Linked DNA regions of Drosophila melanogaster. The protein of the gene in region 1 interacts with the protein of each later gene in a pairwise test. Each region holds a gene or a part of one and is shown in the gene's direction. Other genes may lie near its edges. The genes, in order: GstS1 and danr.

What was found.
Region 2: the proteins of GstS1 (region 1) and danr interact in a two-hybrid assay, tested with the Drosophila melanogaster proteins (one large-scale study listed by BioGRID).

Annotation. Positions count from the first base shown.
Region 1 is NT_033778.4:17,093,210-17,101,152, reverse strand, and holds GstS1 (glutathione S transferase S1), read left to right. Parts: upstream 1-1,651; 5' UTR 1,652-1,661; intron 1,662-2,846; exon of another isoform or gene 2,847-3,027; intron 3,028-3,617; exon of another isoform or gene 3,618-3,925; intron 3,926-4,175; exon of another isoform or gene 4,176-4,349; intron 4,350-6,092; 5' UTR 6,093-6,117; coding exon 6,118-6,388; intron 6,389-6,456; coding exon 6,457-6,636; intron 6,637-6,694; coding exon of another isoform or gene 6,695-6,703; coding exon 6,704-6,837; intron 6,838-6,924; coding exon 6,925-7,092; 3' UTR 7,093-7,907; downstream 7,908-7,943. UniProt on the Drosophila melanogaster protein: Conjugation of reduced glutathione to a wide number of exogenous and endogenous hydrophobic electrophiles. May be involved in the detoxification of metabolites produced during cellular division and morphogenesis.
Region 2 is NT_033777.3:25,135,815-25,140,418, forward strand, and holds danr (distal antenna-related), read left to right. Parts: upstream 1-2,257; 5' UTR 2,258-2,418; coding exon 2,419-3,678; 3' UTR 3,679-4,089; downstream 4,090-4,604. UniProt on the Drosophila melanogaster protein: Probable transcription factor with a role in the retinal determination (RD) network. Regulates ato expression and is required for normal R8 induction and differentiation.

The DNA of each region.
Region 1 (7,943 bases):
TTTGACTTTGGCTACCTTTTAACCCGAGTGCAACAAAGGGTATATTGCTTTCGTGCTAGTCTTAAACAGCAATCTACACTTGGAGGTCTATCTAGTATTTTTTCAGTTGGGGGATCAACTCTACTTTTTTTCGTAATAACAATCGGGAAGTATTCGGTCGATCAATTTCTGATTCACTCTGTTATCTTCACCCACTCCACTGCTTATCGTCATTTATAATATTTGAATGGGTTTTAAAGCCACTTCTAACATTTATAAAGTATGGCAATCATAAACGGGTACATTTTCACACAACTACATCAAACTACTTTAACCAAAATCGAAGCTATGGGCGAATAATAGCTAAACAAATAGATACGTGGAAACCTTGAATTGGATAATACGATTTTCGCCCATCAGCAGAGTCAGCTAACAAAATAGAGTTTATGTATTTAGTCAGCCGATTACAAAGATAAAGGCACACAGAATAGTGGCTTTAATGGCTTAAAGTGGCGAAAACCACTCATTACCGACACGAGTCAGTACGAGTTTGAAGCAAAACAGCTTTGGAGCCAGCACTGATTCGGGCGAAAAGTGACAATTTTTTTGTGTATTTACTCAATTAAAATTGGAGTTTGATTTTCAGGTTTTGCACAGTTCATAATTTGTGGGCACGTGTTAATGAGACAGTTTTTGTAAGCGCATGCAGACGTTTCGTGTTCGCTTTGAATTTAGATTTCTTCACTAGCTGCCATTCGAGTTCACTTGCCAATTTCGGCACTTACATTGTTCGCTATTTATCGGTCTTTTGCCGCGCTTTAAGGTCACGGCTCACGCTGCGTATACGCAATGTGGACTTCAAGCGATCGCCCAATTGGAAAACATTCACCAACTCGCGCAACGTTCGCTCACCTGCGCATTTGAATTCGCACTGAAGGTGGAATTCGCAGTGCAGCAAGTGCGAGAATTATCGCCTCTCCCGATCTCACTGTTTCTCTCTCTTTCCATATAGCACCCGTCTATAACTTTTACCGCTGCCGCTCCCGCCGTCTGGTTTTAACTGTTCGCCCGCCGAGTGTTAGTTATAATTTTTTTATGCGCTCGCTTTTTTATTATTTAGATTGCTCTCGCGGGCTCGTCGGTTCCGTTCTGTGTCGCATTTTCCACAGCAAATTATTGTCATAATTCCGCCGCTCATTCTTCGTGCTGCTTACTATTCTTTTTTTTTTACTTATTCCTGGAGTGCAATTGCAGGCGGCATAAATTCTTAATTAGTGCAGGCCACACAGCAAATAATTTTATTTAATTGCAGCCATAGTCATGACCATAAAATAGTAAACTACTTTCAATCCATAAACGTTAAAATCATACATCTATGCACTTTATTGGAAAATATTTTATAGCACGTTGTTAGAACATAAAATTTTATAGCAAGCTTCAAAATGCATAATTGCAGAAAAAATCCATTAGGTTTAAACGTAAAATTTCTGCCTGTGCATAAAACTTAGTGGTCTTCGCCAAGAAAGAAACGAAAAAGAATGCGGAGAAAATTGGCGCACAACCAGGCAGTCTGGAAAACCTACTTCAAAAACAATAACGAATCGAAAATTTCCCTCACTAGCGAGCAGTGCGTCAAAAAAAACTTCGGACTTTTTTTTAAGTCTCAGTTAGAGTTATTCATGGTGAGTCCGCTGCGATTTGTCATATATTCTCCACCTGTTTCACTCGATTATGCACTCGTCAGCGTGTTCGAAATGTCTGTCTTATCGTGAACGATTGTCATATCTTATCAATCGAGGTCTGCTCACAATCGAAACCGCCAACGCAAAACGAAGAGCTGAATACGCGCCATCGCATTAAAGGCCACAAATCGGTCATTTTCTATGGATTTTCGCGTAATTCTACGAGAATTCTGGGCTCGATTTTGTGGGGGATTTTTGCTGTTTTCTTACTTGTGCACCGATTCGCTTATCTTTGCACATTTTCGAACGTACGCCGCCCAGCCAACACAAAAACACACAAATAGTGCCCGAATCGCATGGAATGCTTCTTTTCCAGCTGTGGGAGTCCCATGGCTGCGAAAAGCTGGTGAATTCGATTGCGTTTTATGGTAGTTATTTGGGTAGAAGCAAAGATTGTGTGGGTACAAGATGAAAATTGTAGGAGTCCCATCAATTCACAGTGAATAACACTTAATCAAGTTTTTTAATCAATTAATTCAATTTTATACTATTTTATGTCAAGTGCTAAGCAAACGGCAGTCATTTTCAGCTAATGATAAGATATGAGCTAAGACCTATTTAACTAAGTGTAACTGACCTTCTAACTTAATTTATGGCAATTAATAAATTTCATTAAATTTTGATACAAGTAAACCCAATTAACAAATCATATTTTCGCGCCAATATTCAAAATTTAAACTTACCACACTTTTCTAAGTCGAATTCGCCGCAATTCGAGCCACACTTTTCTAAGTCGAATTCGCCGCAATTCGAGCCACTAACAGCTAGCCAAGCACACAACCTAAATTAGTGCGGCTTCTAACCAACCTTTTTATTATCAAGTACCGCAACCATGCAAAGAGTTGCCAGAATGTTAATTTCGAACATTTACGTTACAAGTTGAATTTGTCATTCAAATGTTTAAATTTTTAAATGGAAATTTTGCCTTCAGCAAATATGCCTAAATTAACAGGTTTAATTAAAATAATTTTACTTATTTTACCGATATTTATAAATGCAATTAGAAAAGATATGAAAGAGCCCCCGTTAAGCTATTCAAAAACAAAACAATGTGCAACATGTTTTAAATGCTTAAATAATTTTAATTTGATATAATTCACAAGCGTTATACATTTTTTCCCTTAGACAACCCTATGAAGTGAACCTGATGCTTCCCACATAAGTAAACATCTTGGATGCACTCGAATTTCGTCGCCAGGCACCGCCAGTCTGGATCGAACTAAGCAAAGTCCAGAGCACCGCGATTGAGTATTGGGCGTTTCAAATTTCCTGGCTAATTTCTCACAATCAGTTAATGCTAACAAAAGTACTTATGCGGCGGATAGTTCCTAAGAATGTGGGAGTATGACTTTAAGATACGATAAACTTACTTAATGCAAATAGGAGTAAGATTGAAAGTTAATAATTAGTTTTAGGTACCCATAAGATGTTTTTTTCTTCGGCTCTCAAAATCTGCTTTATTTAGTTTTCGTTCTTTAAACTATGTATCTTTTAAGTGGGCAGTAAACAAGCTTCATCCACTAAAAGCCCAAACAAATATTTACTGCCTTTTTTTGCTACTATAATTGGTTTATTACTGAGCTGAGAACCTCTCCCAAAGAGATCTATTTAAATGCCGACTGAGAGATTTTAAGAACAGAGAGAGAGTTCCATTTTGTTTATGAAAAGCTAATTGCCAAATTGGGAAGCCAAAGCCTGCTGGAATATTGCATTCCATTTAAGAAAAGAGGGTAGGAAGAAGAAGAACTGGAAACGTGGCTAAATATGTTAACTAATTCATTAACTTCGTTTCCTTTTCAACGCCCACTGGAACTAGAATCAGAGAGAGAGAGAGAGAGAGAGAGAGAGAGAGAGAGAGAGAGCCAAACTTAAAATTAAAACACTACCTTTTTCCAGTTAACCGGCCGGCTTACACACACAGTCAAACGCCTGAAGCTTGAAAGAGAGTGTTTGCTTGATGAGAGCGGCAAGCGTATAAAAGCAGCGTCGCCGGCAGAAGAAAGTCAGTTGCAGTGCAGTCGTCGTGACGATCGGTTCAGTGATAGCTTCCCAGTGGCTGGAGAGAGTGAGAGTAGAGAGTAACGGAAAGAGAGTGCGAATCGAACCGAACGCTATTCCTTCGCCCACGATTTAAGTGAACGCTTATTAGCGAATTGAAGACCCGAGAGCCCCAGTGCCCAGCTGATTTCGTATTCTTTGTTGAGGTAAGCCAAGGAATCCCTGGAACCACCTCATTTCGTAGCACCTTAGTGATGTAATTACGCACCAAGATTTACCCTTGCCAAAAAGTGGAAAACGCTTTTGCGAACTTCGATGCCGAATGGTGTTCGTCTCGAATCGGTTCTAAAATTACACACAATGGTTTTTTGGCTTCGATTGATTTGATTTGATTTTTGGGTCAATCGATTCGAAATCGAAAAGTTTTGAACTCGTTTCGCAGAATCGCAGTTCGCGCGGATCTCTCGCCTCGCTCGCAAGCAAATATGTGAAGGACAACGACGTTAACCGATCAACTAGAAGCCCTCTTCTTCTGCCTCTTCAGAACCGATCAGATCGGAATAGAAATATAGAAACGACCATAGCACCTCCGTCGACTGTGGAGTGCGTGAACGTATTTCGAAGCGTGAGGTACTCGAACCGGAACCAACTTGAGTGTAGTGCATATTCGGGATCTTATCCAAACGCAGGCTTACATAACCCCTATTTTAATACCTTTTCAAAAAGGAATAATTGAAATTCAAAACAAAATTATTTAGCAACAAACAAACAATCAGTTATATTTTTGAACTGATATGCCTCGGGGCTAGGGGTCCCAGACTTTCAAATTCTAGTGATAACCCCCCCGATCGGCGAGTTCATCTGGAAATGTTGCCCATATGGGCCGGGTGCACGTGAATCTCTTCAGTGCCCATTGACGCACTTTGTGTGCCTCCACTGGGTCCTTGACCCGCTGTGATCCCTGCCCTTTCCCATGGATTGGATAATCTAGGTGTCATTATCTTCCCTAACCTTTTCCCACGATTAAAGTGAAACCATTTGCCACGATTTTAGTGCCGTAGTGCCAGATCAAAGAGCCAAAATAGATCAGAGAATCGAAATTTAATTAAATCATGACACCGAAACACCGAGACAGACCAAATTAAATTCAATTGAAGCTGTCATGGCAACAAGTGCCAGCAAAAAAAAGGAAGAGCACTACGGCGAAACCAGAAGATAACACCGAAAAGTCAAATCGATTGTTGCAATTTGAGACTCTCCGAAAGCGAAAATTGCAGCGGAAGAGGCGGCCAATCGGCCATTACTAAACGGTGATGGGGTTGGGGAGGGGATCCGAAGTCTTGGTGACTGACTGGGCGCCCTGCCAAAATGATGGCAAAGGCAGAGACACCATGATTCCTCAGCCAAATCGAACGAAAACGGGTTTACGCTCTACATGGACCCCATTGCACACTGAATCCGTTTATCCAGCGAGGCAAAAAGTGCCGACGACAATGGAAACAGGGGCGTAGTATCCGTACCTCCTCCGTCCTACGATTCTTCCAGCAGCGCCAACGCCCCAAAAGATATTGATTCCGACTTTTGCGCGATTCAGCGAAAAACATAAGGGGACCAAAAGTGGGCAGACGGGCGGAGGAGTGGTGTCTGTTTCTTTGATATGCGTGGGTGTGTTGTCTGTGCGGCAATCGATGCACTTCCGGTGGGTTCTATGGGGAAATACTCTTGCGTTTCAGTATATATCTACTATATATATTGCAATTTTATGGTAATTATATTTTCTGTCAACTTTTGCCTTGACTCCGCTTGATTTATTGCATTGTTCTTGAAGAATAGCCTCATAAGGCATGCAAGCAAACATGGCTTTCGAACTAGCGCAAAATTAGCTAGTAGCTTATAGAGTATATGTAGCTTACCCCCAACGGTTTTTATATCATTTGTTTAAACCACTTAAGAATATTCGTAGCCTTGTGGACACACTTTATCGTGGATCGTGGAAGTTATACGACACCGTAATATATCCTTATCACTCACGCATATTCTGGCCCACTTCAGCTAGAAACGTTTGGCGCGTTCGCCTTATCATAAAAATCAGGCTATCGACTGATTAACTGAGTTTAATAAGCCAGCAAACGTAAACAAAAACTACGAAAGTTCTGGAAAACTAACCAAGGCTATTTCAAAACGGCGTGAAATGGCTAGCACTCTAAATTATTGAAGTTTTCAACATATGTATATCTAATCTGATAGCCAAGAAAACATAATGGTTACCAACTTTCCATATACACCGTAATTTATTATTGATGAATATCAAATTATCGATAGTACTTCCCCGATAAGATTCTGTTAACACACATTGCTCTACTTTTCTATCAGGGAATTGCATTGAGAAAGCGCAGAGATGGCCGATGAAGCACAAGCACCACCAGCTGAGGGAGCACCACCAGCCGAGGGAGAGGCGCCACCACCCGCCGAGGGAGCCGAGGGTGCCGTCGAGGGCGGAGAGGCCGCTCCACCAGCAGAGCCCGCCGAGCCCATCAAGCACAGCTACACGCTCTTCTACTTCAACGTGAAGGCGTTGGCCGAGCCCCTGCGCTACCTGTTCGCCTACGGCAACCAGGAGTACGAGGATGTGCGCGTCACCCGCGACGAGTGGCCAGCCCTGAAGCCCAGTGAGTGCCATAGTCCATCATTGAGTGGTCAGTGGACTAACCATAATCTACTCTGTCTCATCCAATAGCCATGCCCATGGGACAGATGCCCGTGCTGGAGGTGGACGGCAAGCGTGTGCACCAGAGCATTTCGATGGCTCGATTCCTGGCCAAGACTGTCGGCCTGTGCGGCGCTACTCCGTGGGAGGATCTGCAGATCGACATTGTCGTTGACACCATCAATGACTTCCGTCTAAGTAGCGAACAATGTGTGCCTCAGTTTCATGTTCAGTGTCCTTGATTAACTCTGGAATTTTTAATGTATAGAAATTGCAGTCGTCTCGTACGAGCCGGAGGACGAGATTAAAGAGAAGAAGTTGGTCACCCTGAATGCGGAGGTCATTCCATTCTACCTGGAGAAGCTCGAGCAGACCGTCAAGGACAACGATGGTCACCTGGCTCTGGGCAAGGTGCGTGCTCAAATGAGAACTTGAAACCATACACTCGTTAATTTTGAATGAACAATACTAAGAACCATCGATTCCTTTCACCCACAGCTGACCTGGGCCGACGTCTACTTCGCAGGCATCACCGACTACATGAACTACATGGTCAAGCGCGATCTGTTGGAACCCTACCCAGCTCTGCGCGGAGTCGTGGATGCCGTCAACGCTTTGGAACCGATCAAGGCCTGGATCGAGAAGCGCCCCGTCACCGAGGTCTAAGTTCACCGAACAGGACTTGGGAGGATGGGAAAGCATTGCACAACCACTCAGACACAACCGCACCGCAGAAATGCACACCACCCACATCTGCACACATTTTGTTCCTTTTTGCGGAGGATCCGAGAGGACGGCGGATTTTCGCACGGGGTCATAAACGCGTAGGAGTTTAGCACGTATCACTATGGATAAATCGTATTTGTTCTTAATTTCTTGGTTATAATTCTCTTTGCATGGCGCTATATACATATTTCTATTGGGGTCCGGCAGCGGATCGCCGTTCGTTAGCTTCTTCTGAAATGATGAAAGATAATACTTATTGCACAGTTTATAATATTTTGGCTTACTTTTAGAACATACATTTAGCGCACCTATGCAGACATTTGCTGTACCTATATATATATATATATGCATAAAATACAAAAGCTACGAGTGGTTCATCTTATAGGCGTATTCTATTGCAATTTATTCAATGCGGAGGGCTCAATAAATATTTAAAACAACACCAGCTAAGGCTGAGAAACAATTACAAATTCTTATTTTGTTTTTTATACAACACGCCATCGCGGCCCCAGGAATTTTCTTCGTCTCATCCAGTTCCCTTTTAAGTAGCCATTAAAAAAAGACTCACATCAATAGAACCGGTTTCTCCAAAAAAAAAAAAAACAGACTCTTACTGCCAAATTTCAAATGCACATAATCACATTATTATATACATATTATTTATTCAAATTTGTAATTGTATTTTTTGAATATTTTCACAAAACACTTTTTAATAAACATAACACCTAAAAAGGAATGAGCACTTTTTAAAAGCACGACAACTGGTTTTATTTAATTTTTGTACGATGTAT
Region 2 (4,604 bases), on another chromosome or scaffold:
CATTAACTTTAATTGTTTTCTAATTTTACAAAATGTCGGTGATCATTATTCGAATTTTAATGAATGGTACAATAAGTTACTTAAGACTTACACTAAGTTACAGAATATATCGCTGAAGGCACTGGCAAACGAAGATTCCATTATATCCACGCACCCATCAGATATTTTATTTGCCGCCAAAGAGTTAATATTATTTATTTATTATTAAATTGATTGCATTTATTCCCATTGATGCCCCCGAATAGTTATCTCTTTTTAGTTTAAAGTTAAGATAAGGCATGCAGTATATATTAAGATATATACTTATATGGGTATGTGCATTTGACGTATGCGTTCAGAATTAGTTTAATAAGCCTTCGACTGAAACAAATTATGTATATAATAACAATAAAGTGTATGTACAAAATGTAAGGGCTAACTGCCAACATAGGTTATGTATATATTTAAATTTGTATGTATGTATAAATTGAGACTTAAAATAAATACCGTTTCCTCATACTTATACTGCAAATACTTATAAATCTAATGCAATTTGATTTTTCCATTAAATGTGCACTTATTTTGACTTTATGTATCAGAAAGAGTATCTCAATGCGGTATGTCAACAAATTGTTAATTTTAATCGATAATTACGATTTGAGTACGCTTGCAATCGTTTATTTATTGTGTAGGTTTCATATTTAATTTAAAACAATCCATTCATTTTAAAATACAGTTTTGTGACAAATAAACTTGAATGAAAATTGTTTAATAATAAATAATGATATAGTTATAACATACAGCAAAACGGAAATTAATCAATACAAGTAGATGTAATCTAATAAATTATAGTTAATAGAAAATTTATTTAAATATGTGTAAATCAAACATAAATACTAAAGGCTACTTACTTTCTAAACTGTGTCTTTTAATAACACAATAAAAAAGTATTAAAAAAGGGATGTGTGATATTATTTAAGGAGAATATTGAACGGATTAGCATTTCTAAAATGATTATTTTAAAGTGTACTTAGCCAATTTTCGCAATTTATAATATGATTTGGTATATTTACCAGGCTGAAAGCTTTTAAAGCAGTTCTTCTTCTAGAATGCTGATAGTTTTCTCGAGATTGAAAGCTTTTGTTATTTTTTCTTTAGTGGACGGCGCAGACGCATTAATAGTTTAAACAATAATTAAACGACGAGATTCATTGAGACATTATAATCCATTTTAATAACAATAACAGTGTTTGACAGCATATACATAGTTCTTTGGATTAGGGGTAGAATCAAAGAATTACAATTAGAAAGGTGTTCCAACAAAGGTGTTATGTACATTACGTACGTTTTTAGTATACAGTCGCAATCAAAAAATTAGAAGTGATCCATAAATAATATATTTATATGAATTACATCGTTTTATGAAGGTTAAAACAATTTTGTGTGCGAATAATCATCAGCAAAGAACTATGCAAGTTCTCCATATAAGGTATGTGCTATTCTTTTATATTATTGTACTTCGTGAGCACTTATACATATAAATAAAAATATTTAAAAAAACGCAGTGAATTCAAAACTTGTGTTAATAAGTTTAGCCTGATCACCTTTTAGTCTATATATTTTCTATTATCTTCATAAGATAAGGGTGCAATGAAAATATTTACCACAAATAACGGACAAAGAGTACTCATGGAAATTAGTGCAAACACACAGATGGAGAGTGCAAATAATATAGAGTGGAATTGTGTTATTCTCGGTAGATTCGCAACCCAAAAGTGCAACCAGGTCCACGTCCGTATCAGATCCGCTCACGCACATGCGAATGCGAGAAGGTTGGCCAAATACACGCACACACACTTTCGCAGGAGGGAATGTTTATGGGAGGTAAATAACTGGTTTTTATATAAACACACGGGCACATACACACACACACACGCAGCCACGTGGAGGAGCCGATTTGGAAATGTGCATCCTGCATGCTGAATATCTAGATCCACAACACCACCACACACATACGCAGCCCGCGAAGAGGGACGCGAATGATGGTCAGGACATCAAACCCGTTAAGAGAGCCGAACAGAGCGAATTTCGTGAGCAGGACATGAGTAACAAGTTGTTGCACTGGTGGGTGGTGGGTGCGCGCGCGAGAGAGAGAGAGAGAGAAAGGTGAGAGTGGCGCTTTGCTCCGATTGGTCGAGAAAAAGCGAGAAAAACGTCATGCCGTTCTCTTCGCCGCAAAATCATCGGATCATCTCGGCGGTCGCCGTTCGCCTGTCGCCGTTCGCAGTTCGCAGCTCGCCTTTCGCGGAATCGGATTCACAATCACATCCTTCTGCGAGTTCGAGGAGTGCACACCGGTGGTCGCATCCGCAAAGTCCGCGCTTCGAAACCGCTATCGTAATCGCAATCGCTATCGCCAGCGCAACCAGAAATAGAACCATGGATATCTCCGCCTACCAGCACATGAACATCCGGATGAGCACGCGCGGCAAGCGTCCTCTGAGGAACCTCACGCCCAACGACAAGGTGCGTGCCATCCAGCGCATCCACAATGGTGAAACCAAGGCGAGTGTGTCGCGGGACATCGGAGTGCCGGAGTCCACGCTGCGTGGCTGGTGCAAGAACGAGCAGAAGCTGCGCTTCATGTGCCGCCAGCTGGGCCCCGATCACCTGGGTCTCGACACGCCACCGGAAAAGCGCGCCAAGTTCGAGCTGCAGCTCCAGCTGCCACCGAAGTTCGTGGCACTGCCTCCAAACTACGAGGAGCTGGGCTTCGGTGCACTGCCCTACAGTCCAGCCGATTACCCAGTGCAAAATGAATCCCTGCTGGAGAAGCTTAGCCTTGTGGAATTTGTAAAAAAGAACGGTGGATTGCATCCGGAGGGTGCACTGCATCCGGGTCAGGCCGGCGTGATGGACTACTCCAACAACATGCTGCACCAGCTGAATCTTCTGGCCCTGCTCAACTCCAAACTCACCCCACAGACTGCCGATGTCCTGGTAGATGCACAGCCGAAATCAGAGGACAACAAAGTGATTGATTCGCCCGCTGCTTCCGAGGATTACAGCAAAAACAATTACCCCTTGCTGAGTGTTAAGAACTGGGCCAAGGATCCGGCCAAGCGGGTGAACTCCGCCAATCAGCCGGAGCAAGTGAACGATAAGAACAACAATGCCCTGGAGGCCAACAGTTCCGCACCACAAGCTCTTGTCACGGAGCAGGCGAAGACTCCCATGTTCTCGGACACCACAATGCCCCTACTGCCAGCACCCTTCCCGAATCCTGCGGATCTAGCGCCTGTGATAGCACCAGTGACTCCGGCAAACGCCCCGCCCACTGGAACCGATAACCAGGGAGCGGCTCTGCTCGACTGGTGCAAGCTCTTCAATGCCAGTTTGAACTTCCTGGCCTTCGCTGCGGCCGCAGCCTCCATGCAGCCCGGCGGCGGAGGACCAGGTGGACCCAGCTACAATCCCAACCAAATGGCCAGCGGCGGATCGGAGCCGGATCTCGAAACATATCCTTTCAACGAGGCGCTACTAAAGCGACTGAGTCCACTGGCGCACAGTGAGGCCTCCAACGAAAGCTACTGCGACAGCGAGCCGGAGGATCTGTCCGTGCGCTCCTGCGCCTCCAAGGCGTCCAGCAGATCCCACACTCCCGACAAGAGCGTCGGGTCCAGCGACGCCGAACAGTAGACACCCTACATTATAGCATAGTTGTAGTTGTAGTTCATAGTGTAAATACATCCATTTTTATTGTTATTAGCCACCTTTAGTATTAATGAAACTCGAATCATTTCGCAATGCAAATGCCATTTGTACTTATCAATTAACGTATTAATATCACTGCAACAGGTATTAATAGCTCAGCATACTATAGCTAGTATTAACTAGGAATATCAACTGTGTGACTACTTGTTTGAAAGCCAAATTCAATTCATCTACACGTATTATAACAAATACTAATTGTGTTAAGTAGCTTAATTAGTTGGCACATTTTGTCAGCCATTCCAATCGATTTGTTTTATTACTGTGTAATCTGCGTAACTCTCAAATAAGCATATAAACTAATTACTAATGAAACGAATAAATATTTATTAACAAAACAAAATAAAATTCAAGTGTCAATCTCTCAAGATCAAAACATTTTTTTACTTGATGGGTTTTCAATTACAGCGGTTAGAAAAATGGGTCAATTTTCTACCTATGAAGAAAATGAAAGTCTTACCCGCCAAAAGGCTTATCGAAAAACAGGAATTTTCTATAGAATTAAAGTATTTAATTATAACAAAACTAAATTAATTCATGTGGTTTTTATTTAAAACGTTCGCAAGTTAAATAAAACTTACAGGCATTTGCAAGAAAAACAAATAGTCAACTTTTTACCCATATTTTAAAAATATATTTCATTAAACTAATTTTAAATTCATTATGCAAATTAAACACAAATCGATTGAATCTTTAAGTTGCAAACAAATAAAAACTTGAAAATGCTAATGAATCCTACTTTGAATTTCCATTAGAAGTAAAACTCTTTTACCAAAAAGCGCCTTCATTGGTTTTTTGCCATTTATTTTGTAGGGATAAATATTAAACTTGGCATGCAAATGAATACATGTATG